4 linked regions of the Anolis sagrei genome follow. The protein of the gene in region 1 interacts with the protein of each later gene in a pairwise test. Links are inferred from orthologs where the notes say so. Each region holds a gene or a part of one and is shown on either strand. Other genes may lie near its edges. The genes, in order: CEP70, FAM161A, RBM10 and C6H1orf35.

What was found.
Region 2: the proteins of CEP70 (region 1) and FAM161A interact in binary tests that used the Homo sapiens proteins (3 or more experiments, as listed by UniProt). The two-hybrid records come from large-scale screens. The link is inferred for Anolis sagrei from reciprocal best matches to the Homo sapiens genes CEP70 and FAM161A.
Region 3: the proteins of CEP70 (region 1) and RBM10 interact in binary tests that used the Homo sapiens proteins (3 or more experiments, as listed by UniProt). The two-hybrid records come from large-scale screens. The link is inferred for Anolis sagrei from reciprocal best matches to the Homo sapiens genes CEP70 and RBM10.
Region 4: the proteins of CEP70 (region 1) and C6H1orf35 interact in binary tests that used the Homo sapiens proteins (3 or more experiments, as listed by UniProt). The two-hybrid records come from large-scale screens. The link is inferred for Anolis sagrei from reciprocal best matches to the Homo sapiens genes CEP70 and C1orf35.

What each region holds. Positions count from the first base shown.
Region 1 is NC_090021.1:218,659,146-218,666,192, reverse strand, and holds the start of CEP70 (centrosomal protein of 70 kDa), read left to right. Parts: upstream 1-4,035; 5' UTR 4,036-4,138; intron 4,139-7,047.
Region 2 is NC_090021.1:151,972,039-151,979,577, reverse strand, and holds the start of FAM161A (protein FAM161A), read left to right. Parts: upstream 1-4,524; 5' UTR 4,525-4,663; coding exon 4,664-4,792; intron 4,793-7,539. Other genes in the region: CCT4 (T-complex protein 1 subunit delta), read left to right, coding at 412-525, 758-772. UniProt on the Homo sapiens protein: Involved in ciliogenesis.
Region 3 is NC_090022.1:193,516,465-193,523,300, forward strand, and holds the start of RBM10 (RNA-binding protein 10), read left to right. Parts: upstream 1-3,815; 5' UTR 3,816-3,993; intron 3,994-6,836. Other genes in the region: NDUFB11 (NADH dehydrogenase [ubiquinone] 1 beta subcomplex subunit 11, mitochondrial), read right to left, coding at 574-765. UniProt on the Homo sapiens protein: Binds to ssRNA containing the consensus sequence 5'-AGGUAA-3'. May be involved in post-transcriptional processing, most probably in mRNA splicing. Binds to RNA homopolymers, with a preference for poly(G) and poly(U) and little for poly(A).
Region 4 is NC_090026.1:127,925,543-127,932,729, forward strand, and holds the start of C6H1orf35 (multiple myeloma tumor-associated protein 2), read left to right. Parts: upstream 1-4,169; 5' UTR 4,170-4,252; intron 4,253-7,187.

The sequences.
Region 1 (7,047 bases):
CAAAAGCATGTAGGAAAATATTTCATATGTATTTAGTTCAATTTTTATTCAAGGTATTCTAGATATTTCTGCATAGAGCTCACCAGCATTTTGAAATAAACTGAATGAAAGTGAATCTACATAGATTCAAATTCGGCAAGTGGTGCTTTTTAAAGTAATGTTTCTGTATTTGTTATATTCTTGATTAATATGAAATACCAAACACTTATCACTGCGTTTGTTTTTGTCACATTCTTTCATGCTGAAATAAAAAAAAGTTTTACATCTACAGAAAGGAGATTACGGTGGTAGATTCCTCACTTTCAAAAGAACGGTATGATTTGAGGACACAAAAGTAGGATTTTGTTTCTAGGATACCGAAACATGAACACAAACACATAGGATCACATAAACTGGGCGAGCTTCCTACGGTCTTTTTAGCTACCTAAAAGACACTTCCTACATATTTTTGGATGAAGTAGGAATATGAGCATTTGACAGTTGACACAAGTTGAGTATCCCTTTATCCAAAAATACAAAACGCTCCAAAATTATCCACCTGGGTGGCTGAGCCAGGGACACCTTTGTTTTCTAATGAAACTGTTATTTTGTACTGTATTTAATATGTTGGAAGCCACTCTGGGGCCCTTTGTGGGAGAAAAGCAGGATATAAATTAAAATTTGTTATTGTTGTTATTATTATTAATTAGAAACACAACAAGCTGAGTCCACAGCAGACAAGATCACTCTGCTGGCTGTTGTATTGGATCACACGTCAGACACTTCCCAAGTGTCTAGGACTGTGTGATGTATCAGCAAATAATGCGTGCAGATCCCAGTAAGGTGGCCTTCTGCACCTGGCAGATGGTAATCTTGTCAGTGCCGATTGTGTTTAAGTGGAGGCCAAGGTCTTTAGGCACTGCACCCAGTATGCAGATCACCACAGGGACCACCTTTACTGGCTTGTGCCAGAGTCTTTGCAGTTCGATCTTTAAATCCTCATATCGTATCAGTGAATAATGTGTGCAGATCCCAGTAAGGTGGCCTTCTGCAGTTGGCAGATGGTAATTTTGTCAGCGCCGATTGTGTTTAAGTGCAGGCCAAGGTCTTTAGGCACTTATTATTATTAACTGAGTTCCATGATATAAAATATGGTGCATAACAGCATTTCAGAAGCTGTTTACTGGCACATAAATGAATTCCGTGTTTATTGCCTTGGGTCCCATCTCCCAAAATATTGAAGAAGAAGAAGAAGAAGAAGAAGAAGAAGAAGAAGAAGAGGAGGAGGAGGAGGAGGAGGAGGAGGAGGAGGAGGAGGAGGAGGAGGAGGAGGAGGAAGGAAGAAAGAAGAAAAAGAGTAATAATAATAATAATAATCCCAAACACTTCTTCTGGTCCCCACAAACACTTCGAAGAAGGGATACTCAACGGGTGCAAATCACACTGATGCGGTTTGACTCCACTTCCTCTGCCAGGGCTTGATGCTACTGAATTCTGGGATGTGTAGTTTGGTGAAGCACCAGCACTCTTGGCAGGGAAAGGAACTACAGAGTATCTCACTGTGCCACAGCATTGAGCCATGGCAGTTAAAGCGGTGTCAAACTGGACGAGGGGGAAGTTTTCTCTAGGAGGAGGAGGAAGGGGGGGGGAGGGAGGGTCGGGTCTACCTGGCCCTCTAAATCTCGTAGTCTCCCGGAAACGAGGCCTTTCCTCGGGACGGAGCCTGCAGTGCTTCCCAGTCTCTTCTGCCCAGAGCCAGAGCAAGGAGGCCGCCTCCTCCTTCCCTTTCCTCTCCCTGGGGTCACCCTCCTCGCCTTTCCTCCCAAAATGGCGGCGGGGCCTACCTCGAGTGGCCCCTCTGCCCAGCAACGCACCCGCCGAGGCGGACGGATGGAAGTCCTCATCCCCGGAAGTTTTCCCCAGCAGGCCCCGCCCCTTCTCTCGCCCCGCCCCCTCTGGAAACGCCCATTAAGCAGGGGCTCGAGGCTTTCAGGAATTTGGACTTCAACTCCCAGAAGCCTCCGCTGCCACCGCCAATGGCCGGGCATTCTGGGAGATGAAGTCCAAAACCAGACTGGGAAGAGGGTTGCTGTGAGTTGTCCGAGCTGTATGGCCATGTTCCAGAAGCATTCTCACCTGACGTTTGGTCCACATCTATGGCAGGCATCCTCAGAGGTTGAGAGGTTTGTTGGAAACTAGGCAAGTGGGGTTTATACATTTGTGGAATAATGTCCAGGGTGGGAGAAAGAACTCTTGTCTGTTGGAGGCTAGTGTGAGTGTTGCAATTGGCCACCTTGATTAGCCTTTCAGCTTCAAAGCCTGGCTGCTTCCTGCCTGGGGCAATCTTTTGTTGGGAGGTGATTAGCTGGCCCTGATTGATTCATGCCTGGAATCCCCCTGCTTTTCATAGAATCAAAGAATCAAAGAGTTGGAAGAGACCTCATGGGCCATCCAGTCTAACCCTTTGCCAAGAAGCAGGAATATTGCATTCAAATCACCCCCGACAGATGGCCATCCAGCCTCTGTTTAAAAGCTTCCAAAGAAGGAGCCTCCACCACACTCCGGGGCAGAGTTCCACTGCTGAACGGCTCTCACAGTCAGGAAGTTCTTCCTCATGTTCAGATGGAATCTCCTTTCTTGTAGTTTGAGTGCTGTTCTTTATTTACTGTCCTAATTTTAGAGTTTTTAAAATACCGGTGGCCAGATTTTATTCATTTTCATGGTTTCCTCCTTTCTGTTGAATAATATGCTGTGTCCAGGTTGGTTCATCAGGTGTTCTGCTATGGCTGACTTCTCAGGTTGAATTAGTCTGCAGTGCCTAGCATGATTATTGATTCGTGTCTGGGCATTCCCCAGATATATAAATCTCACTTGCCAAGTTTCCAACAGACCTCAAAACCTCCCTGCTGTTAGGAATTGTGGGAGTTGAAGTCCAAAATACCCGGAGGGCCCAAGTTTGCCCATGACTGCTTCCCCATCCATGTTTTCAGTTCCTTTCTAAAGGTTATTAGACAAGGCCTTGAGCCTTCCCTGCCAAAGAGGGCTGGGGTCTCACCAAATCACAACTCCCACGATTCCACAGCATTCAGCCGTAGCAGTTGATGTGGTGTCGAACCGCATTCATCCTACTACAGCACGTTTCTCTCTTTCGCCCTCTATTCATGCCTCTTCAAATCCTAAAGCACTGCTGGTCACAGCTGACCTGGAGCACTCAAGGGCCAGGGCTTCCCAGTTCCCAGTGTCTATGCCAGAGTTTTTAAGGTTGGCTTTGAGCCCGTCTTTAAATCTCTTTCCCTGTCCACCAACATTGTGTTTTCCATTCTTGAGTTCGGAATAGAGCAACTGCTTTGGGAGACGGTGGTCAGGCATCCGGACAACATGGCCGGTCCATCAGAGTTGATGGTGGAGGACCATCGCTTCAGTGCTGGTGGTTCTTGCTTCTTCCAGCATGCTGACATTTGTCCGCTTGTCTTCAGCACAACTCTATACACTAATGCGCCTTAAGCATGCATCTAAACTGCAATTTGGCAGCATTTTAACTTTCCAGAGAAAGTTTAAAAACTCTAAAATCAGGGGGTAGTAAATAAAGAACAATGAAAACAGGGGAATTCCAGACATGAAACAATCAGGACCAACTAACACCTCCCAATAAAGGATTCCCCCAGGCAGCAACCAGCCAGGCTTTGAAGCTGCAAGGCTATTAAATGCTAATCAGGGTGGCCAATTGCAACATTTACATTTGAGAGTAAACAAACCCCACTTGCCTAGTTTCCAACAGACCTTGCAACCTCTGAAGATGCCTATGAGACTCATGAGGTCACCATAACTTCTTGGGTCACTTGAAACATCCTCAAGGCAGTAGATCCTGGCTGATCTTGGAAGCTAAGCAGGGGCAGCCCTGGTTAGTACTGGAGGGGAGGCCTCAGGCAGCTATTTCAGAGGAAGGCATTGGGCTTTCCTTTCTTTGCCCAAGTCGGCTCTGAAATACAAAGATGCCTTCAAGCCCCTCCTTGGGGCGGAAACTGGGGCGGGCTTTTCTCTCCTTCTTGCTTTCCCCTTCCTTCTTTCTTCCCTTCCTTCCTTCCCTTCACCCCTCCTTCTTTCCTTGGAGACCCGCCTATAACGGCTTCTGAGACCGAGGCAAGGAGCCCAGGCCCCGGTATGTACCGCAAGAAGAGGAGAATGATGCGAATTAAGCAGGGAGGAAGGCACTGAAAGGGAAGGAATGCATCTGATACCCCTTTAACTGTGTTAAACGCCCTCTCCTTGGCTGCATACACTGCAGAATGAATGCATCTGAGTCCCCTTTAACTGTCATGGCTCCATGCTGGGAGATGTAGTTCTGCAAAGGCTCCAGCCCTCTCTCCTGGGGAACCACCAAACTACAGCTCCCAGGACCTCATAGCTGTGAGCCATGGCAAGTAAAGTAGTGTCGCTTGTAGAGATGCAGACTTGGTTGGTTGAATGGTTGTCACACAGCCAGGGGATTCAGTCTTCTACACAGCCATCTATTTTATTATATCAGGAGCGAACCAAGGGTACAGTTTGGTTATTTATTATTTACTATATTATTATAGTAAATAATAATTTACTATATTTATTATTTTTATATATATATATATATATATATATATATCTAATAAATAAATATATTTTACTATATTTATTTATTATTTACTATATTACTATTATTATATTGCCCCTCTCAGCCTGCAGGTGACTCGGAGCAGTTTACAGTCAGCATCAAAAACATAAAACATGATTAAATCAATTAGCTTAAATATAAAACCAATTAAAATAGTCAATATCAATAAAAAAAATATATCAATTAGAGTCTCCTTGTTAAAAGCATTGTTAATAGCATCATTCCATTTTTCCTATGTTTGTTATATTGCATCTGCAAACGCTTGCTCAAAAAGCGAAGTCTCCCGGTTTTTTTTTTAATGTTAAAAGGGAAGGGGCCGATCTGATATCCCTACAGAGGGCATTCCATAGCCAAGGGGCCACCACTGAGAAGGCCCTGTCTCTTGTCCCTGCCAAACGTACTTGTGACGAAGGCAGGGCCTCCCCAGATGATCTTAGAGTCCTAGAGGATTCATAAGGGGAGATGCGTTCGGACAGATAAGTTGGGCCAGAACTTGTATTTTAAAACAACACGAAGTTTAAAAACTTTGCGTTGTATTAAATGTCCTTTGACTAGTAGCTGGCCACTTGGAATGCCTCTGGTGTTGCTATAAGAAGGTCCTCCATTGTGCATGTGGCAGGGCTCAGACTGCATTATCTGTGGTTTGCTCTTCTCTACACTCGCATGTCATGGACTCCACTTTGTAGCCCCATTTCTTAAGATTGGCTCTGCATCTCGTGGTACCAAAACAAAGTCTGTTCAGCGCCTTCTAAGTCACCTAGTCTTCTGTGTGCCCAAGGTGGGAGTCTCTCATTTGGTATCAGCCAAGGATTGAGGTTCCAGGTTTTTGCCTGCCACTTTTGGACTCTTGCTTGCTGAGGTGTTCCTGCGAGTATTTCTGTAGATCTTAGAAAACTATTTCTTGATTTAAGGCATTGGCGTGCTGGCTGATAACTGAATGGGATGGGCCGGAGATGTCACTGCTTTCATAGAGCCATGAAAGCCACAGGATCCTCTATGGCAGGCATGGGCCAACTTGGGCCTGCCCTCCAGGTGTTTTGGACTTCAACTCACACAATTCCTAACAGCCGGTAGGCTGTTAGGAATTGTGTGAGTTGAAGTCCAAAACACCTAGAGGGCAGGCCCAAGTTGGCCCATGCCTGCTGTGGAGACTTCACTCTGGCAGCACACCATGGGAGGCTTTATTGCATGGTGTTTGCAAAGCACTTGGTGAATACTTTGCTACACCATGGGCCTTTCAAGTACAGAACATTATAGTATACACCTAAAAACATAAACAAACCTTTTTTTGGTAGTTGTGTAGAAGGAGTTGCCACAAGGATTTGCTTTTAACACAACCAGCTAGCAAAGCTTCTGAAATTCCCTCTTCTACCATGTACACGACTTAACTTGGGAGGATTTGTTGTTTTTACGTGGATTATTTCGGCCTTATTTCTACTGGGAATGTTTACAAAAAGCACATTGTTTGAATTGTTTTGCAAACAAATAATAGTTGATGTCATTTTGTTGCATTTGGTGAACATTTTGATTTCCCACGGGTCTTGTAAGTACAGAATATGACTGTATTCACTTGAGAAGAGTATGAAAATGAGAATATTTTAACATGCACCTGGAAATAATATGACAGCTAGATTAAACAAACGTTTTGTGTATTGTTGAAGGCTTTCATGGCCAGAATCTCTAGGTTGCTGTGATTTTTCTGGGCTGTATGGCCATTTTTTTTCATGTCAGGAGTGACTTGAGAAACTACAAGTTGTTTCTGGTGTGAGAGAATTGGCCATCAGCAAGGGGACGCCCAGATGTTTGATGTTCTACCATCCTTGTGGGTCAGCAATCCTATCGGCACAAGGCTTTGACTCCTGTATGGCCATGTTCCAGAAGCATTCTCTCCTGACGTTTCACCCACATCTATGGCAGGCATCCTCAGAGGTTGTGAGGTGTTTTGTGGTTGTGTTGAAGGCGTAACTTTTCACACAACCAAGTCACCACCACTTCAGAAATCTCCTTGAAACAGCCATGAGAGAGCCAATGTGGGATACTGGTGAGAGCATTGCACTAAAGCTCTAGAGACCAGGGTCTGTATCCTCAACTGTGAAACCCAGTGGGTGATTTTGGGCAAGTCACACTCTCTCACTCTCACAGGAATGCAATGGCAAATACCCTCTGAACAAATCTTACCAAAAGAACACTGTAATCGGTTCATTTTAGGATCCCCATAGGTCCAAAAAAAGTTTTGAAGATATTCAATAACAACAAACACAGTCACGAAAGGTAGAAGAGCCATCTCCAGTTTCCACTCCGGCAATCCTACTTGGAAAAACTGCATTGTCTCACACAGATTGCTCGTTATTTCACCTTTGTTTCTATTGAGAAGGGTAGGATTTCATTAGTGGCACTCATTTTATAGTCAAGAATCATTGTTG
Region 2 (7,539 bases), about 67 Mb from region 1:
CATTTGTTAGCCCCCTCTCACAAATATGCTTCTTGTTTGAAAACAGTTAAAGAGCACTTGCCTCAGGTATATGGATGTTCTCAAACTTTTTTATGCAAACTGAAATGTAACAACTTAAATTGGAACTGAATAAGATACTGTAGTTGCATATAGTCCAGATTCTTTTGTTACCAAAATTTTATCCTAGATATGAAATACTTAAAAAAAACTTCACTTAACTTGAAAACTGCCAGCTGTAGTTTTAGGGAATTGCTATAGAAATGTTCTACCTTATTAATAGGTTGTGCACTTGGGCTTATTTGTTTTTCATCTTCTCCTACTCCATAATGAGACCACTGAGAAATACGTATTGACAATAGATTTTCTGCTTGTCATTTCTAATAAACTAAAGTGGCAGTTCTTACATTGTAGGGTGGAATTTCCAATATCCTTGAGGAGTTGGTTGTCCAACCGTTGTTGGTATCTGTCAGCGCTCTCACCCTGGCTACAGAAACCGTACGCAGCATCCTGAAGATTGACGATGTGGTAAGCATAGTTTAAATACTCATAAAATGTTCTCTCAAATGTTTACTTTGTTACATTTCACAGATCTGTTACTGCCTTGCATCAGTGTTGAAATGCTGAGTGTTTAATGACAACTGATGAAATAGTTAAGATTCAAAGAGGCATTGTAATTATTAGTGGAAATTATATTGAATAATGTTAAATAAGTAATATAGTGATGAAGTGTCATACAATAATCTCTCATTTTTTGCAGGTAAACACTCGATGAAAGGTCTAAAGGAAAAGAAAGCACAGGTCAGCAACATGTCATACGTTTCTAACATGACGTCTTCACACAAACTGTGTTGGACATCTGCTTAATTCCAAGTTACACTGGCGTACTTTTGTCAATTTAAATTAATAAAACCTCAAATTTGAAAGGCTTTGTTTTAATTTTTTTATATAACAAAATACTTGAACACATATTGCATTGATTGCCAAAAGCTCTGCTTTACACTTTGCTAGACCATGTCTACCTTTAAACTCTACTATTGTGGCTGAAGAGACTTAAGCAATTTCACATCCTTTGAAATTAGTGAGACTTAATTTGTGGGGCTTTATTTATGTCATGTCTTGGGCTGTAACCGTATCTGTCAGCTGTTAACTGTCAGCAATTGGTACTTTTAAATCTAGCATGTATTTCACTGAAGGTATAATTAAATGTTGTATCGTATAAATCTAATAATAGTTTCTAAGAACAGGATTGACACATGTTAAGAACGGTATTCTGAAGAAAATACAAGACATGCAACATTTTTATCCCAAATTGGTAGTTAAAGGCAATGTCTTTTTAATAGTAGGTGTTGGTCACTTCTTGTAACACCTAGAAATTTGGATACAGTGAGGCTGCGAAAAGATTGTCCAAACCCAGTACTGCTGTCTCTGTTCTAAGACGCAAGGTGAAAAAAAGAGGTGTGTGATTATTATGTGGTGGCAACTGTTGCACAGTGAAAAAAGCCCATTTTTTGCAATGGAGACTATTATGTGATGAAATGCGGGTATCTAAATAGTAAGTCACATATCCCAGAGGCACATATAAGGGTTCTTCAAACTTGTGAGGAGAAACGGCATGCACAGATGGTTTTTCAGGACACTTGTGGCTTGTAGCAATATCTGTAAGCAAAACTAAAACGGATTCAGAGTACTAATGGATTATTTGTGAATAGGAAGTAAGTGTAGCTCCAGCCTAAAGATAATGAGGTGCAGATGTTGCTCCTTTGAATTGCAAGAATTATAATGCTAAAATACAGTACAAAGTGACTGTAAGACAGCACACAAATCCCTCATATGGGCTCATGATAACCATACATCCCTGCTCCCCATCCATGCCAGCGGGAGTAAAGGTAGCTGCTCTGCCATGCATATGGATGTATTTCTTAATATACAGGAGTGTAATGGAAGACTCCTCTGGCCACCAAGTCCTGAGAAATGGCTGTAACTCATTTTCCCTACTCAATAAATCTCAATTTTTGAATAGCACAGAATCTTCTCTTACTAAGCTTTGAGACTAGTTACCAACTGCCACCAATTCACAGCTATGTCCCAACATTTCAGATGAAAACCAGGACAGCTGTGACAGCATTTATGGTAACTGAAATCCACAAGCCATTGAAATCCACAAATATGCAGAGGAAACCATGAAAATGAACAAATTCTGGTTACCAGTATTAAAAACACCATAATCAATACAGTAAATAAAGAAACACCACTTGAAAACAGGAGAACTCGACAATTCCTAGTAAGACGTATTCGGTTTCAGTTCTATGGGTTGGCCAATAATCTTTTCCATTGCAATGAGTATCATTTTCCAAAATTTAATTGCCTTTTTACATGACCACCAGAGGTGGAAAAAGGAACCCACCTGAGAATGGCATTTCCAACATTTATCTGACATGTTCTTGTAACATTTGGATAATTTGCTTGGAGTTATGTACCAGCGGTACATCATCTTGTACCACTTCTCGCATAGATCATGGGAGTCTGTGTATTTTAGTGTGATGTTCCATATGCTCTCCCATTCTGATATACATATATTGTGGCCGATGTTTTGTGCCCACCTCACCATGCATTCTTTTATGTTCTTTTTCCGTTGACCAAGCGAGTAATATTTTGTAAATTCTGGAAATTAGTTTGTTTTTAGAGATCAGGTTCTTATCCCATGATTTTTCTTTTTCAAATCCAATTTTCTTGTCTCTGGAATGCCTCTTTTAATTGTCTATACTGGAAAAATTATTTAGCTACTTGACTACGGCTGCGAGAATCACATATGCTAAAAAGTGGAAAGAGAAAGACACACCAAGTATTGAAGGCTGGATAATAAAAGTTACAGAAATTATGAATATGGACTATCTTACACACAACCTTAGAAACAATCAAGGGAAAACAAGAGAAGACTGATTGGACCACAGTCAAGAACTTCATAGAAGAAAGAATCCGATAAGAAAGAATAAAGATACAAGGACAGAAAACAAGGAAAATGATAAGGAAAAATACCATCAACCTACGGGACAGAATATGAAGACTACAAATGCTCCTCCATCCACCAATCCTGCACCCCCCTTTTTTTCTTTCTCTTTACACCTCAACTCATCACTAAGTCACAACCCTTCCCTCTCCCTTTCAGCCCCCCCCCCCCCGTTCCCCTCTTTCTCTTTTTTCTTTCTCTTTCTCCTTTTAAGTGCATTATTTTCAAAACTAATAAAAATATTTTAAAAAAGAAAACAACTCCAGACAGCAAACAACCAAGTGCCCGTTATTACCTCCCAAATGATGCCTCCAGACAACAATACTCTCACTAATTGATTGCAGTTGCAAAGCTATTCAATGCTAATCGAGCTTGCAAACTGCAACAAATAGACAAGGGTTCTTTCTCCCACCCTGGGCATTCCCTACATACACACACACCCATTTGCTTCACTGCCAACAGAACCTCTGAAGATGCCATTAGCCAAAGATGCAGGTGAAACGTCAGGGGAAAATGCTACTGAAACATGGCCATACAGCCTGAAAAACTCACAGCAACCCTGTGATTCCAACCTTTGACAATACATTTATGGTAAAGATGGCAAAGGTTATTGAATGAGGGGAACCCAAGCAAAGAGAGAAGGCAGTTGCCTTTTATTTATTTATTTAGGAAATGTCTATGCCACCTTTCCTCAGGCGGACCCTAGGCAGTTTACATCATCTTAAAAACATCGCAACATAAAACCGTCAGCTAAAACAATAATACAATTTCTGAGTATGCTCTACAGCATAATCCATGCTTCCCTTTTGCTTGGGCAAGAGTTTGCACTCCTCCTGAGTCAAAAGAGGCAAAATAAGGGTTTTTTCCCGACAGGCCCTATATCCCAGAATCTGATCCCAGGTTTTCTGTTTTAAACTGGATTATATGAGTCCGGTGGCGCAGTGGGTTAAAGAACTGAACTGCTGAGCTTGTTGACCAAAAGGTCGCAGGTTCGATTCCAGGGAGCGGCGTGAGCTTCCGCTGTCAGCCCCAGCTTCTGCCAACCTAGCAGTTCGAAAACATGCAAATGTGAGTAGATCAATAGGTACCACTCCGGCGGGAAGGTAACTGCGCTCCATGCAGTCATGCCGGCCATATGACCTTGGAGGTGTCTATGGACAACGCCGGCTCTTCGGCTTAGAAATGGAGATGAGCACCACACCCCAGAGTCAGACATGACTGGACTTAATGTCAGGGGACAACCTTTACCTTTATATGAGTCCACACTGCCAGATAATCTGGGATAAACAGAAAAACCGGGGCCAAATCCTGGGCTATGGGGGCCTACCTGGAAGGCTTTGAACTCATTCTGCAGCAGCTGCAGTAAGATGAAGAAGGAGGGAGGGAAATTGGGAGGAGAGATAAGAAAGTGGGACAACAGAGGATGAATGGGGCCAGCTGGAGGTCAATGTAGTTTAGTTCTGTCAATGGGCGACGTGCGGTTCTTTTCGGCGCGTGCGCACAATTGTCCTGGAGGCCCCGCCCTCAGGAGAGTCCTGTCCGCGCGGCCGTTAGCGAAGGTGTTGTGTTCCCTAAGAGATGCCGTAGCGTCCCAAGCCGGGCGCCTTGGTAACCCAGCGAGGGCTTTCATTCAGTCGCGCGCTCGCGGGGAGCGGGATGGATGCGGGTCACCGGGCCGCTTCCCTCGCTGTGTCCTGCCTCCGAAGGCCGGTGGACCCTCACACCAAGGCCCCCACGGCGCTGTACGAGCGGGAGCGGGAGCGGGGGGACGGAGCCTGGCCGCAGGTGGGTACCTCAAAGCACACCCTCTCAGCCTCAGAGGGAAGCCAGGACAGGCCCACACGTCCTGCCTGACAAGGTCGCCGTGCCCTACTAGAGCTGAAAGACTAGGCCAAGAGCCTGCATCCCACCTGAAATAATTGTATTGATCTTAGGATACTTTCGAGTAGTGGAAATGTGAGCCTATGTCTTGTCGAAGGCTTCCATGGCCAGATTCACTGGGTTATTGTAGGTTTTTTGGGCTATATGGCCAAGTTCTATAAGCACAACCTCTGCGGATGCCTGCCATAGATGCAGGCGAAACATCAGGAGAGAATGCTTCTACAACATGACCATATAGCCCGAAAAGCCTACAACCCAATGTGAGCCTAACTCACAATCCCATAGAGCCCCATTAATCACAGGTCCTGCATCTACTTACACATCTTCACCTGCAGTTTATTCTTTCCAGCTACAGCATATTCTACATTGAATTTCGTTCCTATGCCCCACCTGTCTCAAAGTATCACACTAAAACTCCCAATCTCTGAGGATGCCTGCCATAGATGCAGGCAAAACGTCAGGAGAGAATGCTTCTACAACATGGCCATATAGCCCGAAAAACCTATAACAACCCAGTATCACACTAAAACTGAAAAAGTAAGCAAAGAGTCTGCATCCTATCTGAAATCCTGTGGCTGCCTTCTGAAGGATTTTGAGGCTTGTAGTTTAGGGAGACCCAGTGCCCCTCTGACAGCATTTTAAAGGCCCCTCCCCTGAAGCCTCATTTTTTAATGTCAGGGGCGACTTGAGAAACTGCAAGTCACTTCTGGTGTGACCATCTGCAAGGGTGTTGCCCAGGGGACGCCTGGATGTTTCTGAGGTTTCACCATCCGTGTGGGAGGCTACTCTCATGTCCCCACATGGGGAGCTGGAGCTGACGGAGGGAGCTCATCTGTACTTTCCCTAGATTTGAACCTGCTACCTGTCGGTCTTCAGTCCTGCTGGCACAAGGGTTTAACCCACTGTGCCATCGGGGGCTCCCCTGAAGCACAAGGGCAAAAGGCTACTATACACAAAAAGTAATGCAGTTATATAATCATGAGAATGTACATTAGATCTGTGCTGTAGTACTACAACATTCAATGTACTAACAGCTTGTACAAAGTATACTTAACCGAGATACACAATGCAAATCTCTAAACCAAAAAAATCCTTTATGTGGGATAAACACCTGATTCCTACAGTAAAATGCACAAGTTTATCAGTCCTTTTTGAAAATCACAAGTTTAGAAACAACCAATCAAAGTTTTTAAGTCCTTTCTTTGCAAGTCTCTGAATCAAAAAATTTCCTAATGTGGGATAAACATCTGATTCCTACAGCAGAATGCACAAGTTTATAAGTCATTTTTTAAAACAATGTTTGTCAGCAGCAAATCAAGGTTTGTCAGCCCTTTTTTGAAGTCCACAGTTCATAAACCACAACCAGTTTTGACTATGTGGCGTCTTCCTCAGGTGGTAGTTGATACAAGTGTAGAAATCCTTGAATAGTCAATTTACCACAGTAGAGAGTTCTTCAAGTCAATATATAAATGTCAACAATGACATGGACCTACGGGGAACACATATGAGTCCCCTGAAGCCCCTGATTCAACAGGAAGCAGACACAGGATTTCAGACGGGGTGCAGATTCTTTGCCTACTTTTTCAGCTCTAGTGTGCTATGAGTCTCTGTGAAATAAGCAATAAATCATATATTTTAAACACACACACACACATATAAAAGGAATTTCATGAGATAAGTTGTGTCCCCATACATTTTTATTACAATTTATATATGTGTGTATCTCTTTTAAGAAGTTGCATGATGATGATGATGTTTATTTATACCCCACTTTTTCCTCTCCACAAAGGAGACTCAAAGGAGACCTTGAAAGCGTTTCCGTACATTTTAAAATCCAAAAATATACAAACATTAAAATAGAAATAAACATTAATAGTTTAAATCCTTAAAACAGATAAACATGTATTCAAAACTAAAGCCACAGCAACCCTCTGACCTGATTTTAAAAGCCTTCCTTTTAAAAACCCTGCCCGAATAAAAAAGTTTCAATAAAAAGGTTTAACCTACAGGTTGCTATAAAACTGAATCTCCGTGTCACAAAATGATGCATGTCTCAAAAGTGTGTCACTGATATGAAATGTTTGGAAAGCTCTGCTGTATGATATATATCGCAATGCTACCTAAACAAATAAACGGCAGATCCCATGTAATGCTGCCCCTTCAGCCTTTTTTCCTTAAAAAATCAGACACAGGACATGAAGATGTCCCAGTTCCATAACTGAAGCTTTGCTAGCCTACTTGTACATTTGGCAAGTTAGGAAAACCACACATTTATTCCCTGTTGTACAACTAGGAAAAAGCCTGAGCTTAGAGACCAGAATTCATTTAGCTGCTGATGCTTTTTCTAACCTGATAAGAGCTGTGTGGCCTGGGTTCGTACAGTGTTGATGTACTAGGCACAGTTGATTTAATTGTGATCAAACTGGTTGAAATCGTAATTGAAATTTCCTGAAACACTTAGTTTTAATAATTAAATAAATAATTAAAATCTCTATTAAAATATGTTTACTAGAAGCATGTTACTGTTTAATATAACCATATTTATATTCAGAGTTATAGATTTTACTTGAAATGTAATCAATGCTGAATTGTTTTCCGATTAATTTTTTGTTCATCAAAAAAGGAATCTTCAGCATTAATATTCTGCGTCC
Region 3 (6,836 bases), on another chromosome or scaffold:
CATCATGAGAAGAAAGGAAAGCTTGGAGAAGAGAATGATGCTGGGGAAGATTGAAGGAAAAAGGAAGAGGGGCCGGCTAAAGGCAAGATGGATGGGATCCTTGAAATGACTGGATTGACCTTGAAGGAGCTGGGGGTGGTGACAGCCGACAGGGAGCTCTGGTGTGGGATGGTCCATGAGGTTATGAAGAGTCGGAAACGATTGAACGAATGAACAACAACAAATCACTACAGCTGCCCTTCACTTTGGGTGCATACATGTTCCTCATATCTATACTCCTGACACACAGAGCTTAGAAGTCATTATATACACACTAAGTGTTTTTAAAGAGAATGACAACGTTTGTGGCCACTGAAGAAAGCAAAGCTGTGACTGTCTCAGCCAGCCTCGCAATATCACCCCGAGTAAGACAGGTGGAGAGCTGTAACTTTGGCCTCTTAGAGGGACAACAGCTAGGGATCCGGAGCACTGAGCTATGCCAGTTGACTGGACTGGGCTGCATCACTCCTCCCCCTTTTCTCCCCTCATAGGCTTCTTCCCCTGCCCTCCTCTCTCTCTCTCTCTCCTTCTCACCTTGGCGAAGACGGGGATCTCCTCGTCGTGGTCGTGGAGGGGCCTGGGGGCCAGGTGCGAGGGGACCGGAGCCGGGGGAACCTGCACCGAGGCCGCCGAGCGAGACTTTTCCCCTGAGGAGACCCCGCGGGCCGAAGGGCGGGCCAACCTCAACCACCTCTGAAAGCCCGCCAGCCGCCTCAAGGCCGCCATGGTCGGTCGGCTCTGCCGCCGGAATTCCGTCGCCCGCTCGCCGGAAGTTCCTCTCTCGTTCGCCGGAAGTGGAAATCTTTCGCGCTTCTCCCTCTCAGAGAGCTAGCGCCAGAAAAGGACCTGAAGGCGGAAGCGAACTTTGCGAGCCCTTTCAGGTTGAAGTTAGGCGTCACGAAGTTGGTATCAAACTGCATTAATTATACCGTGTAGATCAGGTATGAGCAAATTTGGGCCCTCCAGGTGTTTTGGACTTCAACTCCCACAATTCCTACCAGCCGATAGGCTGGTAGGAATTGTGGGAGTTGAAGTCCAAAACACCTGGAGGGCCAAAGTTTGCTCATACCTGGTGAAACACACCCGAGGGGAAAGCATGGGTAACTGTCCCTTTAAGGGAGGGAATCGCCCCGTTTGGAGTTCTGCCTCCCCATCAGACTCACACTTGGAAACTTAAGAGCTGGCAATACATTTATCTTACATTCACCACAAGGTCAGTATTGCTTTTTTTTTCTATCAGAAGAAACAACAGTATCCAAAAACCAAAATATCCCTTGCTCTGGCCAGAGACTGACACTAGTTTACAACTACTTCTTTCCATGGGATCGTATGGTTCTGCATGAAAGCCTATAAGCAGTGGTTCTCAACCTGTGGGTCCCCAGGTGTTTTGGCCTACAACTCCCAGAAATCTCAGCCAGTTTACCAGCTGTTAGGACTTCTGGGAGTTGAAGGCCAAAAACATCTGGGGAACCCAGGTTGAGAACCACTGGATATGATACAAGTGGCAGGGAACCATGGCATAATCTATCTATATAAATAAAAATGTAATGTTCGTTTGTGGGATTAACATAACTCAAAAACCACTGGGCAAATTGACACCAAATTTGGACCCAATGCACCTATCAGGCTAAGGAGTGAACATCACTCATAAAAACACTGAAAAACACAGTAGAAGGGACTTAAAAGGCCACAAAATAAAAAATACATTACAATGCATGCACAAAACCACATATTTATATGCAAACACATATATATACACTAATATATACACACATATACGCAACACGTGGCAGGGGATAGCTAGTCTATATAAATTAAAATGTAATGTTTGTTTGTGGGATTAACATAACTCAAAAACCACTGGGCAAACTGACACCAAGTTTGGTCACAAGACACCTACTAACCCAAGGAGTGACCATCACTCAAAAAATTGATTTTGTCATTTGAGAGTTGTAGTTGCTGGGAGTGATAGTTAACTTAAAATCAAGGAGCATTCTGAACTTCACCAACGATGGAATTGAACCAAATGTGGAACACAGGACTCGCATCACCAACAGAAAACACTAGAAGGGTTTGGTGGGCATTGACTTTGAGAGTTGTAGTTCACCTACATCCAGAGAGCACTGTGGACTCAAACAATGATGGATCTGGACCAAACTTGGCACAAATATGCCATATGCCCAAATATGAACACAGATGGAGTTTGGGGAAAATAGACTTTTGGGCATTGTAGTTACTGGGATTTATAGTTCCCCTGCAATCAAAGGTTAGTGCTTGGATAAGAGACTACTGTTGGCTGCATCCCAAAGGAAGGGACAGGCAAAACCACCCTTGAGGATTTATTATTTATTTTATTTATTTATGACATTTATATGCTGCGTCTTACAAGTTATATATACAGAGCGGCTTACAAGTTATATATACATACAATATTATATTATTAGCATAGCACAATATTAGTATTATATATTAACATTTTGTACTATACCGCTATACTGTAATATCATTAGTAACATTACATGTAATATAATGTAATATTGCATTCTTCTTATTATTATTATTAGGACACTGAACTTCCACGGCTCAGTGTTGTGGAATCGTGGGAGTTGTGCTTTCAGAGGAGGGTGACTAAAATGATAAAGGTTCCAGAGAACAAGCTCTGTGAGCGGTTTCAAGAGCTGGGCATGTTTAGCCTGAAGAAGAGAAGGCTGAGAGGAGACATGATAGCCATGTATAAATGGCTATCACGTATAAATGGCTATGCACGAAGTCATAGGGAGGAGGGAGCAGGCTTGTTTTCTGCTGCCCTGGAGATTAGGACTCGGAGCAATGGCTTCAAAGGACAGGCAAGGAGATTCCACCTGAACATTAGGAAGAACTTCCTGACTGTGAGAGCTGTTCAGCAGTGAACTCTCTGCACCAGAGTTTGATGGGGGCTCCTTCTTTGGAGGCTTTTAAGCAGAGGCTGGATGGCCATCTGTCAGGGGTGCTTTGAATGCAATTTTCCTGCTTCTAGGCAGAATGGGGTTGGACTGGTTGGCCCATGAGGTCTCTTCCAACTCTAGGATTCTATGAGACATGAGAGGAGCTGTGTATCAATATGTGAAAGGGTGCCATAAGGAGGAGGCAGCAGGATTGTTTTAGGACTAGAACAATGGGCCCAAATGACAGAAAAGGAGATTCCACCTGGACATGAGAAAGAACTTCTCAGAGCTGTTCAGGAGTGGAACTCTTTCTCTGCACTGGAGTGTGATGGAGGCTCCTTCTTTGGAGGCTTTTAAACAGAGCCTGGATGGCCATCTGTCCAGGGTGCTTTGAATGCGATTTTCCTGCTTCTTGGCAGGGGGTTGGACTGGATGGCCCATGAGGTCGCTTCCAACTCTATGATTTTACGTGGTTTCAAGCCTTCTCTGTCAAAAATTCCAGGATTCCATAGCACAGCCCTGGGCAAACATCTGCCCTCCGGGTGTTTTGGACTTCAACTCCCACAATTCCTAACAGCCGGTAGTTGAAGTCCAAAACACCCGGAGGGCAGAAGTTTGCCCATGACTGCCATAGTAGTTAAAGTGCTGTCAAACTGCAATCAATATAGACATTGAACTCGGGAGGCGGAGACTTCCTTGTGACCACTTGGATTAAAGCGGAAGCGGGGAGCGATGATAGACAGCCGCCTTTGACCAATCCGATTGCAGAGTGGGCGGCCGCTGCGAAATATAAGCGGCCAATGGGCGCACTCGGCTTCCCGTGACGTCAGTGGCGAGGGAGGGAGGGAAGGCGGTGGGGGCTCCGGTGTCACCGACGACGAGGAAGGAGAGCGAGAGGAAGCGAGCCTCAGAGGCCGCGACGCCGCCATTTTGCGAGGCGGGCGGCGCAGGGCGAAGCAGGCCTCGCTCGGGGCGAACCTCCTCCTCCTCCTCGCCGCCGCTCCTGGCACCAGAGGGAAGCGAGGGCCAGGTGAGAGAAGGCGGAGCCGGCCTCAGGCGCCACAGGGAGGCGGGGCTTCTTGGCCGTTGGGCATCACGCCCTTCTGGTCGCTGTTTAGTTAGGGCAGGCATCCTCAAACTGCGGCCTTCCAGCTGTTTGGGCCTCCAACTCCCAGAAGCCCTAATGAGCTTGTTCAATTGTAAGAAATTCTGGGAGTTGAAGGCCCAAACAGTTTGAGGATGCCTGAGTTAGGGCCTCAAAGAAGGCAGAGAAAGGAAGCCTCGCAGCCCGGCTTTAAAGAAAGGCCAACGGGTTATTCGTGTCTGCGGAGGGCCGTCGAATGAGTGCAATCGACGCCCCTTGAATTGCCTTGCTGAGGAACTCTGGGAGCTGTAGCTCTACTTCTGGCTTCTCTGCCTCACCAAACTCCAAATCCCATGGGCTTGAGCCATGGCAGTTAAACTGCGTTATTTCTAGAGTGTAGATGCACCTAAGTGCGCTTTCGAGTTGGCAAAGATAATACAAAAACAGTTATGAGAGAGCACTGATTCTGCACTGTAAAATTAGCACAGTTTGATGCTGCTCTAACTATTAGGGAACCTTGGAGTTGTTCTTTAGCCTTCTCCGCCAAATAATCATAGAGTTGGAAGAAGAAGAGAAGAAGAAGAACAACAACTTTGGGTTGTTGTAGTTTTTCGGGCTATATGGCCATGTTCTAGAGGCATTCTCCCCTGACGCTTCGCCTGCATCTATGGCAAGCATCCTCAGGGTTAGTGAGGTAGTCAGACCTCACTACCTCTGAGGATGCTCGCTACAGATGCAGGTGAAACGTCACGAGAGAATGCCTCTAGAACAGTGTTTCTCAACCTTTCTAATGCCGTGACCCCTTAATACAGTATCTTATGTTGTGGTGACCCCCAACCATTTTGTTGCTACTTCATAACTGTAATTTTGCTACTGTTATGAATTGCAATGCAAACATCTGATATGCAGGGATTTTTTCATTTACTAGACCAAATTTGGCACAAATACCCGAAACGGCCACATTTAAATACTGGTGGGGGGGGGGGGGGTTGATTTTGTCATTTGGGAGTTGTAGTTGCTGGGATTGATCGTTAATCTTCAATCAAAGAGCATTCCGAACTCCCTCGATGATTTTTTTTTTGTCGTGTCAGGAGTGACTTGAGAAACTGCAAGTCGCTTCTGGTGTGAGAGAATTGGCCGTCTGCAAGGACGTTGCCCAGGGGATGCCTGGATAATTTGATGTTTTTATCATCCTTGTGGGAGGCTTCTCTCATGTCCCCACATGAGGAGCTGGAGCTGATAGAGGGAGCTCATCCGCCTCTCCCTGGATTCGAACCTGTGACCTGTCAGTCTTCAGTCCTGCCAGCACAGAGGTTTAACCCACTGCGCCACTGGGGGCTCCATTCCATCAATGATGATGGAATTGAACCAAACTTGGCACACAGAACTCCCATGACCAACAGAAAATACTGGAAGGGTTTGTTGGGCACACACCTTGACTCTTGGAGTTGTAGTTCACCTACATCCAGAGCACTGTGGACTCAAACAATGATGGATCTGGACCAAACTTGGCATTTATACTCATTATGACAACATGTGAACACAGGTGGAGCTTGGGGAAAATAGAACTTGATGTTTGGGAGTTGTAGTTGCTGGGATTTATAGTTGACCTGCAATTAAAGAGCATTTTGAACCCCACCAACGATAGAATGGGGCCAAACTTCCCACACAGAACCCTCATGATCAACAGAAAAGACTGTGATTTCTGATAGTCTTTGGTGACCCCTCTGGCACCCCCTCACGACCCCCCCCCCAGGGGTCCCAACCCCCAGGTTGAGAAACGCTGCTCTAGAACATGGCCATATAGCCCGAAAAAAACCTACAACAATCCAGTGATTCCGGCCATGAAAGCCTTCGATGATACAAGAGGAACTTTATTTTTCTACCCCGCCTCCATCTCCCTGAAAGGACTCAGGGCGGCTTACATGGGGCCAAGCCAAAGCAATAACAAATAGAACAGCACAAAACAGCATAACTATAATAACAAGCATCAAAATCAACAACAGACTGATTTTGGAGGGGGGGGGGAGGAGGACCACTATGCGAATTGGTTAAAGAATAAGGTGGTTGAATAAGGTGGATAGAAACGTATAATAGCATAGGAAATAATGTGGAAACAGAGCGATTTAACAGGATCAGTTCAGCTTAACTTAAACAAATATATAGTAATGTAATATAGGAATTTAGAATCAGGTCATGATACAAGTCATTTGTCATAGGAGTTGTCAGTCGAACGTACAACAAAACATCCACATCTTTAATTCCTTACAGAATGTGTGTAGGGAGGGTGCCAGCCTAATCTCCCTGGGGAGGGAGTTCCAGAGACACTGAGAATGCCCTCTCTCTCTCTCTCTCTCTCTCTCTCTCTCGTCCCCAGCAACCGCGCCTGAGACAGGGGTGGGAGCGAGAGAAGAGCATCCCCAGAAGATCTTAATCAGTTAAAAACCACAGCACTCCCTGACTAATCTTAAACACCCCTGAATTAGAGTCACACTCTCTCCATGGCTGGCCCAAAATGTTTTGCTGTCTAGGGTCAAGAACAAAATGTTGGTCTCCCTGTAATTCAGCATTTCATATGCAAACTGTCTGGCAGTTGTTGTTTTGTGCTTTAGGTCTGACATCCTCAAACTGTGACCCTCCAGCTATTTGGGCTTCCAACTCACAGAATTTCTGACCATTGAACAAGCTGATTAAGCCTTCTAGGAGTTAGAGGCCAAACAGCTGGAGGGCTGCAGTGTGAGGATGCCTGCTTTAGACAGTTTCCAACCTATGGTATCCGTAATGCATTA
Region 4 (7,187 bases), on another chromosome or scaffold:
AGGGAGCGCACGACGCCATTGCTGCGCCAGCTCTACTGGCTGCCTATTAGCTTCCGAGCACAATTCAAAGTCATGAGCCATGGGGAGAGGTGGGTAAAACACCATCATCCACATGCATTTATGCTTCATGGACACTGGTGCACTTGTTCATCCTCATCATCCATTCTCACACATTTGTGTATCATGATGCACCATAATCATGCATTTGTGCACCACCATCCACATGCATTTGTGCACCATCATCCATGTGCATTTTTGCATAATGGACACTTCTGCATTTGTGTGCATCTTCATCCTTATGCACTTTTTGCATTATGCATCATTCTCACACATTTGTGCACCATATAATAATAATAATAATAATAATAATAATAATAATAATAATAATAATGAGGGAGATGCAGTTTTAAAAGGGAATTGAAACTTTAGTTATATACCATCACCATCTCCCAGAAGGCACTTCTTTTGAAAGTTTTTGAAAGCACCGATAGTGCAACAAATCCCAAAATGCAAGAAAACACATATATCTGTATTACTTACTTACTTAGGCGATCCCTCGTTGGACGAGTAAGATGGTCTTCCATCATGGGTTTCCTTGTGGGTCCGTATGTGGCTGTGGAGCCCTATTCTTGCTCTGCATCTTCTTCCGCAGTGAGGGCATTTTTTTCCAGGTGGAAGGCGGTCCCGGTCGGGGTTGGCTTGACGCGCCTTCCTCCTGGCACGTTTCGCTCTTTCACCCTCCACTCATGCCTCCTCGAATTCTGCAGCACTGCTGGTCACAGCTGACCTCCAGCTGGAGCGCTCAAGGGCCAGGGCTTCCCAGTTCTCAGTGTCTATGCCAGAGTTTTTAAGGTTGGCTTTGAGCCCATCTTGAAATCTCTTTTCCTGCCCACCAACGTTCCGTTTTCCGTTCTTGAGTTCGGAGTAGAGCAACTGCTTTGGGAGACGGTGGTCAGGCATCCGGACAACGTGGCCTGTCCAGCGGAGTTGATGTTGGAGGACCATCCTTTCAAGGCTGGTGGTCTTTGCTTCTTCCAGCACACTGACGTTTGTCCGCTTGTCTTCCCAGGAGATTTGCAGGATTTTCCGGAGGCAGCGCTGATGGAATCGTTCCAGGAGCTGCATGTGACGTCTGTAGACAGTCCACGTCTCACAGGCGTATAGCAGGGTTGGGAGGACAATAGCTTTATAGACAAGCACCTTGGTATCCCTACGGATGTCCCGGTCCTCAAACACTCTCTGCTTCATTCGGGAAAATGCTGCACTTGCAGAGCTCAGGCGGTGTTGTATTTCGGCGTCGATGTTGACTTTGGTGGAGAGGTGGCTGCCAAGGTAGCGGAAATGGTCGACATTTTCTAATGTTACACCATTAAGCTGTGTCTCTGGCATTGGAGAGGGGACGGCTGGTGACTGCTGGAACAGCACTTTGGATTTCTCGATGTTCAGTGACAGGCCAAGCTTCGTGTATACTTCTGCGAAGGTGTTTAGAGTGGTTTGTAGATCTTCTTCTGTATGCGCACAGACGACATTGTCATCAGCATACTGGAGTTCTATAACAGATGCTGTTGTGACCTTGGTTTTGGCTTTCAGTCTGCTGAGGTTAAACAGCTTGCCATCTGTCCGATAGATTATTTCCACTCCGGTGGGAAGCTTCCCGTCAACAAGGTGAAGTATCATAGCAATAAAGATGGAGAATAGAGTTGGGGCAATAACACATCCCTGTTTGACACCCGATTCCACCTTAAATGGGTCACTTTGGGAGCCACTGCTGTCCAAGACTGTTGCCATCATGTCATCATGGAAGAGCCGCAAGATGTTCACAAATTTGTTAGGGCACCCGATTTTGTGGAGGATGGTCCAGAGAGCGCTGCGATTCACTGTGTCGAATGCCTTTGCAAGGTCGATGAATGCCATGTACAGAGGTTGGTTTTGTTCCCTGCATTTTTCTTGGAGCTGTCTTGCAGTGAAGATCATGTCCACGGTTCCTCTGGAGGGGCGGAAGCCGTTCTGGGATTCTGGGAGGGTGTCTTCTGAGAGGGGCAGAAGGCGGTTTGCAAGGATTCTTGCGAGGATTTTCCCAGCTGAGGTTAGAAGGGAGATACCTCGATAGTTTCCGCAGTCTGTTCTTTCCCCTTTTTTGAAGAGGGTGATGATGGTGGCATCCTTGAAGTCTGCTGGGATTTTCTCGGTCACCCACACTTTTTCTATGAGCTGGTGGAGTTGGTGTGTCAGCTCGGGTCCTCCCTCTTTAAAGATTTCAGCAGGGATCCCATCCGGTCCGCTGGCTTTGTTATTCTTTTGTTGGCTGATGGCATTGCTGACTTCTTCCAAGCTAGGCAGTGCTGCAAGCTCATCTCTGGTTTGTTGTTGCGGGATTTGTGAGAGGACCTCTTCGGCCACATTGGAGCTGCAGTTTAGGAGGCTTTGGTAGTGTTCTTTCCAACGTAGTGCAATTGACTTTTGGTCCTTCAGGAGTTTGGTTCCGTCTGATGAGCGTAGAGGCTGTATGCCATGGTTTCTTGGTCCATAGATGACCTTTGTGGCTTTGAAAAATCCTTGAGCATTATGGGTATCTGCCAGGTGTTGGATTTCTTCAGCCTTCTTTGTCCACCAGATGTTCTTGAGTTCTCTTGTCCTTCTTTGGACCTCAGCTTTTGCACTGGCATAGATCTTTTTCTTAGCAGCACAGTTGATGTCTCTCTGCCATATTTGGAAGGCTTTCCTTTTCTTGTCGATTAGCTGTTGGATCTCGATGTCATTTTCGTCAAACCAATCTTGGTGTTTCTTGGCTTGGTATCCAATAGTTTCTTCGCAGGCTTGGATGATGGAGGTCTTCAGTTTGTTCCAATGTTCCTCAACATTTTCGGGGTGTTCTGTGGGTAGAGGGTCCTTGAGTGCTGTTTGGAGATGAGCTCGTCTGGAGGGCTCCTGAAGGGCTTGGGTGTTCATTTTGCGCCTTGTTTTCCTTCCTTGGAGTCTGCGCTTGGGAGCTTGGGAGCTTGGATAGTATATCTGTATATACTATCTTCCACATGCATGGCTACACCATCATCCACATGCATTTCTGCTTCTTGGACACTTATGCATTTGTGTATCCTGATAATCTATGCACTTGTGCATAATGCACACCATTTCCACATCATCGTTCGCATGAATTTCTGCCTCATGGACACATGCATTTGTGCATCTTCAGCATCCGTATGAACTTTTTGCATCATGCATCATTCCCATGCATGTTTGCCTCATGGACACTCATGCACTTGTGTATCCTGATAACCTATGCACTTGTGCATCATGCACACCATTTCCACACCATCACCTGCATGCATTTCTGCCTCATGGACACACATGCATTTGTTGATCTTCAGCATCCTTGTGCATTTTTTGCATCATGCATCTCTCCCATGCATATTTGCCTCGTGGACACTCATGCATTTGTGTATCCTGATAATCTATGCACTTGTACATCATGTACACTATTTCTACACCATCATCCACATGCATTTCTGTCTCATGGATACTCATGTATTTGTGCATCTTCAGCATCCTTATGCACTTTTGCATCATTCCATGCATGTTTGCCTCATAGACACTCATGCATTTGTTTACCCTGATAACCTATGCACTTGTGCATCATGCATGTCATTTCTACACCATCATCCACATGCATTTCTGTCTCGTGGATACTCATGTGTTTGCGCATCTTCAGCATCTTGATGCACTTTTTTGCATCATGCCTCTCTCCCATGTATGTTTGCCTCATGGACACTCATGCATTTGTGAATCTTGATAATCTATGCACTGGTGCATCATTCACACCATTATCCACATGCATTTCTGTCTCATGGATAGTCATGCATTTGTGCATATTCAGCATCCTTATGCACTTTTTGCATAATGCATAATTGCCTCATGGACACTCATGCATTTGTGTACTCTGATAATCTATGCACTTGTGCATCATGTACACCATTTCTACACCATCATCCACATGCATTTCTGCCTCATGGACACTCATGCATTTGTGCATCAACCTTGTGCACTTTTTGCATCATGCATTGGTGCAAAAGCTTGGGAAACGTTCTCAAGAGAAACCCTCCCTTGCATTGTCCCTATATTTTTGCAGCCAATGGTCTCTCCCATATCTGCCGGAAGTGGATGCTGGAGGCTCTTCCTGTTTGCAGCAGCACGTGAGTTTGCAAAAGGAGGGAGCTTTGCAGCTAGGATCCTGCTGGGAAAGTTTGCCTTCCTGGTAAGTGCACCCCTTCTCCCCCATTTCACTTTCCTATCATGCATAAATGGGTGCATCTACACTGTAGAATAAACGCAGATTGGCACCACTTTGAACTGCCAGGGCTCAGTGCTAGGGAATCCTGGGAGTTGTAGTTTAGTGAGGATTCAGGCAGAGAAAACTAAAAACCTTGCAAAACTAGCATTGAGCTATAGGAATAAGATAGAGCTATAGTTCCAAGTGGTGCCAAATTGCATTCATTCAGCAGTGTAGATGCACCTTTAGATATTTTTCCCTGTTCAAATTGTTGTTGTTAGTTTTGGCCCAGCTTTGCAATCTGTTTAAATGATATTCACTTGTATAAAGATTTTGCAGTTTGCAAAATTGCCACTGAAATGCAATACAATTGCTACCCAAATGCAATAAGCAAAAACGCAGCAAGTTGTTATTATCAGTGGATGCTAACTTTACATTTTGTTAGCATTGGTGTCCATCTTTGCTCTGTTTATTATTATGTATGTGCATTTCCAAAGTATTGTGTTTTCACTCTGCGTTTTAAGCCCACAGCCTCAAGCCATGCAGAGAGGCAGGCAAAAAATAAAGTGCATTATTATTATTATTATTCAAAATACAAGATTTTTTTTTTTTGGTCGTGTCAGGAGTGACTTGAGAAACTGCAAGTCGCTTCTGGCGTGAGAGAATTGGCCATCTGCAAAGACGTTGCGGAGGTGACGCCCAGATGTTTTTGATGTGTTACCATCCTTGTGGAAGGCTTCTCTCATTTCCCCGTATGAGGAGCTGGAGCTGATAGAGGGAGCTCATCCACGCTCTCCCCGGAGTCGAATCTGCAACCTGTTGCGTCTTCAGTCTTGTCAGCACAGGGGTTTAACAAGATGAGTGCACAGCAGACACTCTGCTGCCTGTTGTATTGGACTGCGTGGTGTATTGGCAAATAATAATAATAATAATAATAATACTTTATTTATACCCCGCTACCATCTCCCCAAGGGACTTGGTGCGGCTTACATGAGGCCGAGCCCGCAATACATCAATAATAAAGCAATAGCAAACAAACAATACAAAACAGCAACGCATGACAGGGGGTGGCTAGTGTATGTGTGTGTGTATATATATATATGCACACACACAACACACACATATATATTGGCTCCTGGTGGCACAGGATTAAACCGCTGAGCTGCTGAACTTGCTGATTGAAAGGTCAGCGATTCAAATCTGGAGAGCAGGGGTGAGCTCCCGCTGCAACGCCCAGTTTCTGCCCACCTAGCAGTTTCAAAAACATGCAAATGTAAGGAGATCAATAGGTACCGCCTTGGCAGGAAGGTAACAGTGTTTGAGGACCGGGACATCTGTAGGGATACCAAGGTGCCTGTCTATAAAGCTATTGTCCTCCCAACCCTGCTATATGCCTGCGAAACGTGGACTGTCTACAGACGTCACATGCAACTCCTGGAACGATTCCATCAGCGCTGCCTCCGGAAAATCCTGCAAATCTCTTGGGAAGACAGGTGGATAAAAGTCAGCGTGCTGGAAGAAGCAAAGACCACCAGCATTGAAGCGATGGTCCTCCAACATCAACTCCGCTGGACAGGCCACATTGTTCGGATGCATGACCACTGTCTCCCAAAGCAGTTGCTCTACTCTGAACTTAAGAACAGAAAATGTAATGTTGGAGGTCAGGAAAAGAGATTTCAAGATGGGCTCAAAGCCAACCTTAAAAACTCTGGCATAGACACTGAGAACTGGGAAGCCCTGGCCCTTGAGCGCTCCAGCTGGAGGTCAGCTGTGACCAGCAGTGCTGCAGAATTCAAGGAGGCACGAGTGGATGGTGAAAGAGAAACGTGCCAGAAGGAAGGCGCATCAAGCCAACCCCAACCGGGACCACCTTCCACCTGGAAACCAATGCCTTCACTGTGGGAGAAGATGCGGGTCAAGAATAGGGCCCCACAGCCACCTACAAACCCACAAAAATAGTCATCAAGGAAGACCATCTTACTCGTCCAACGAGGGATCGCCGAAGAAGAAGAAGTGCTGTATGCAGTAATACTGGCCACATGACCTTGGAGGTGTCTATGGACAACGCCGGCTCTTTGGCTTAGAAATGGAGATGAACACCAACCCTCAGAGTCAGACACGACTTGACTTAATGTCAGGGGGAACCTTTACCTATATATATATATCCATTTCGACTCCCAGTCCTCCTTAATAGATCCATGAGTATATGTGGTTCTCCTTTCCGTGATATCATCTTGTAGCCTATCCAATAAATATCCATGCCATTTGAAATGAATTGGTTCCCCATCCGCTTGGGCCTTCTGCAGCTGGCAGATGGTAATTTTGTCAGCGCCGATTGTGTTCAAGTGCAGGCCAAGGTCTTTAGGCACTGCACTTAGTGTGCCGATCACCACTGAGACCACTTTTACTGGCTTGTGCCAGAGTCTTTGCAGTTCGATCTTTAAATCCTCATATCGTGTCATCTTTTCCAGATTATTATTATTATTATTATTATTATTATTATTATTATTATAAACACAACAAGATGAGTCCACGGCAGACACTCTGCTGGCTGTCGAATTTGGTTACACGTTGGGCACTTCCCAGGTGTCTAGGACTGTGTGATGTATCGGCGAATAATGCATGCAAATCCCAGTAAGGTGGCCTCCTGCAGCTGGCAGATGGTAATTTTGTCAACGCCTTCGGGCTGAGAACAGCGGTATATAAGTAAGGTAAATAAATAAATAATAATAAACGCCAATTGTGTTTAAGTGCAGGCCAAGGTCTTTAGGCACTGCGCCCAGTGTGCCGATCACCACTGGGACCACCTTGACTGGCTGGTGCCATAGTCTTTGCAGTTCGATCTTTAAATCCTCATATCGTGTCATCTTTTCCAGATTATTATTATTATTATTATTATTAGAAACACAACAAGATGAGT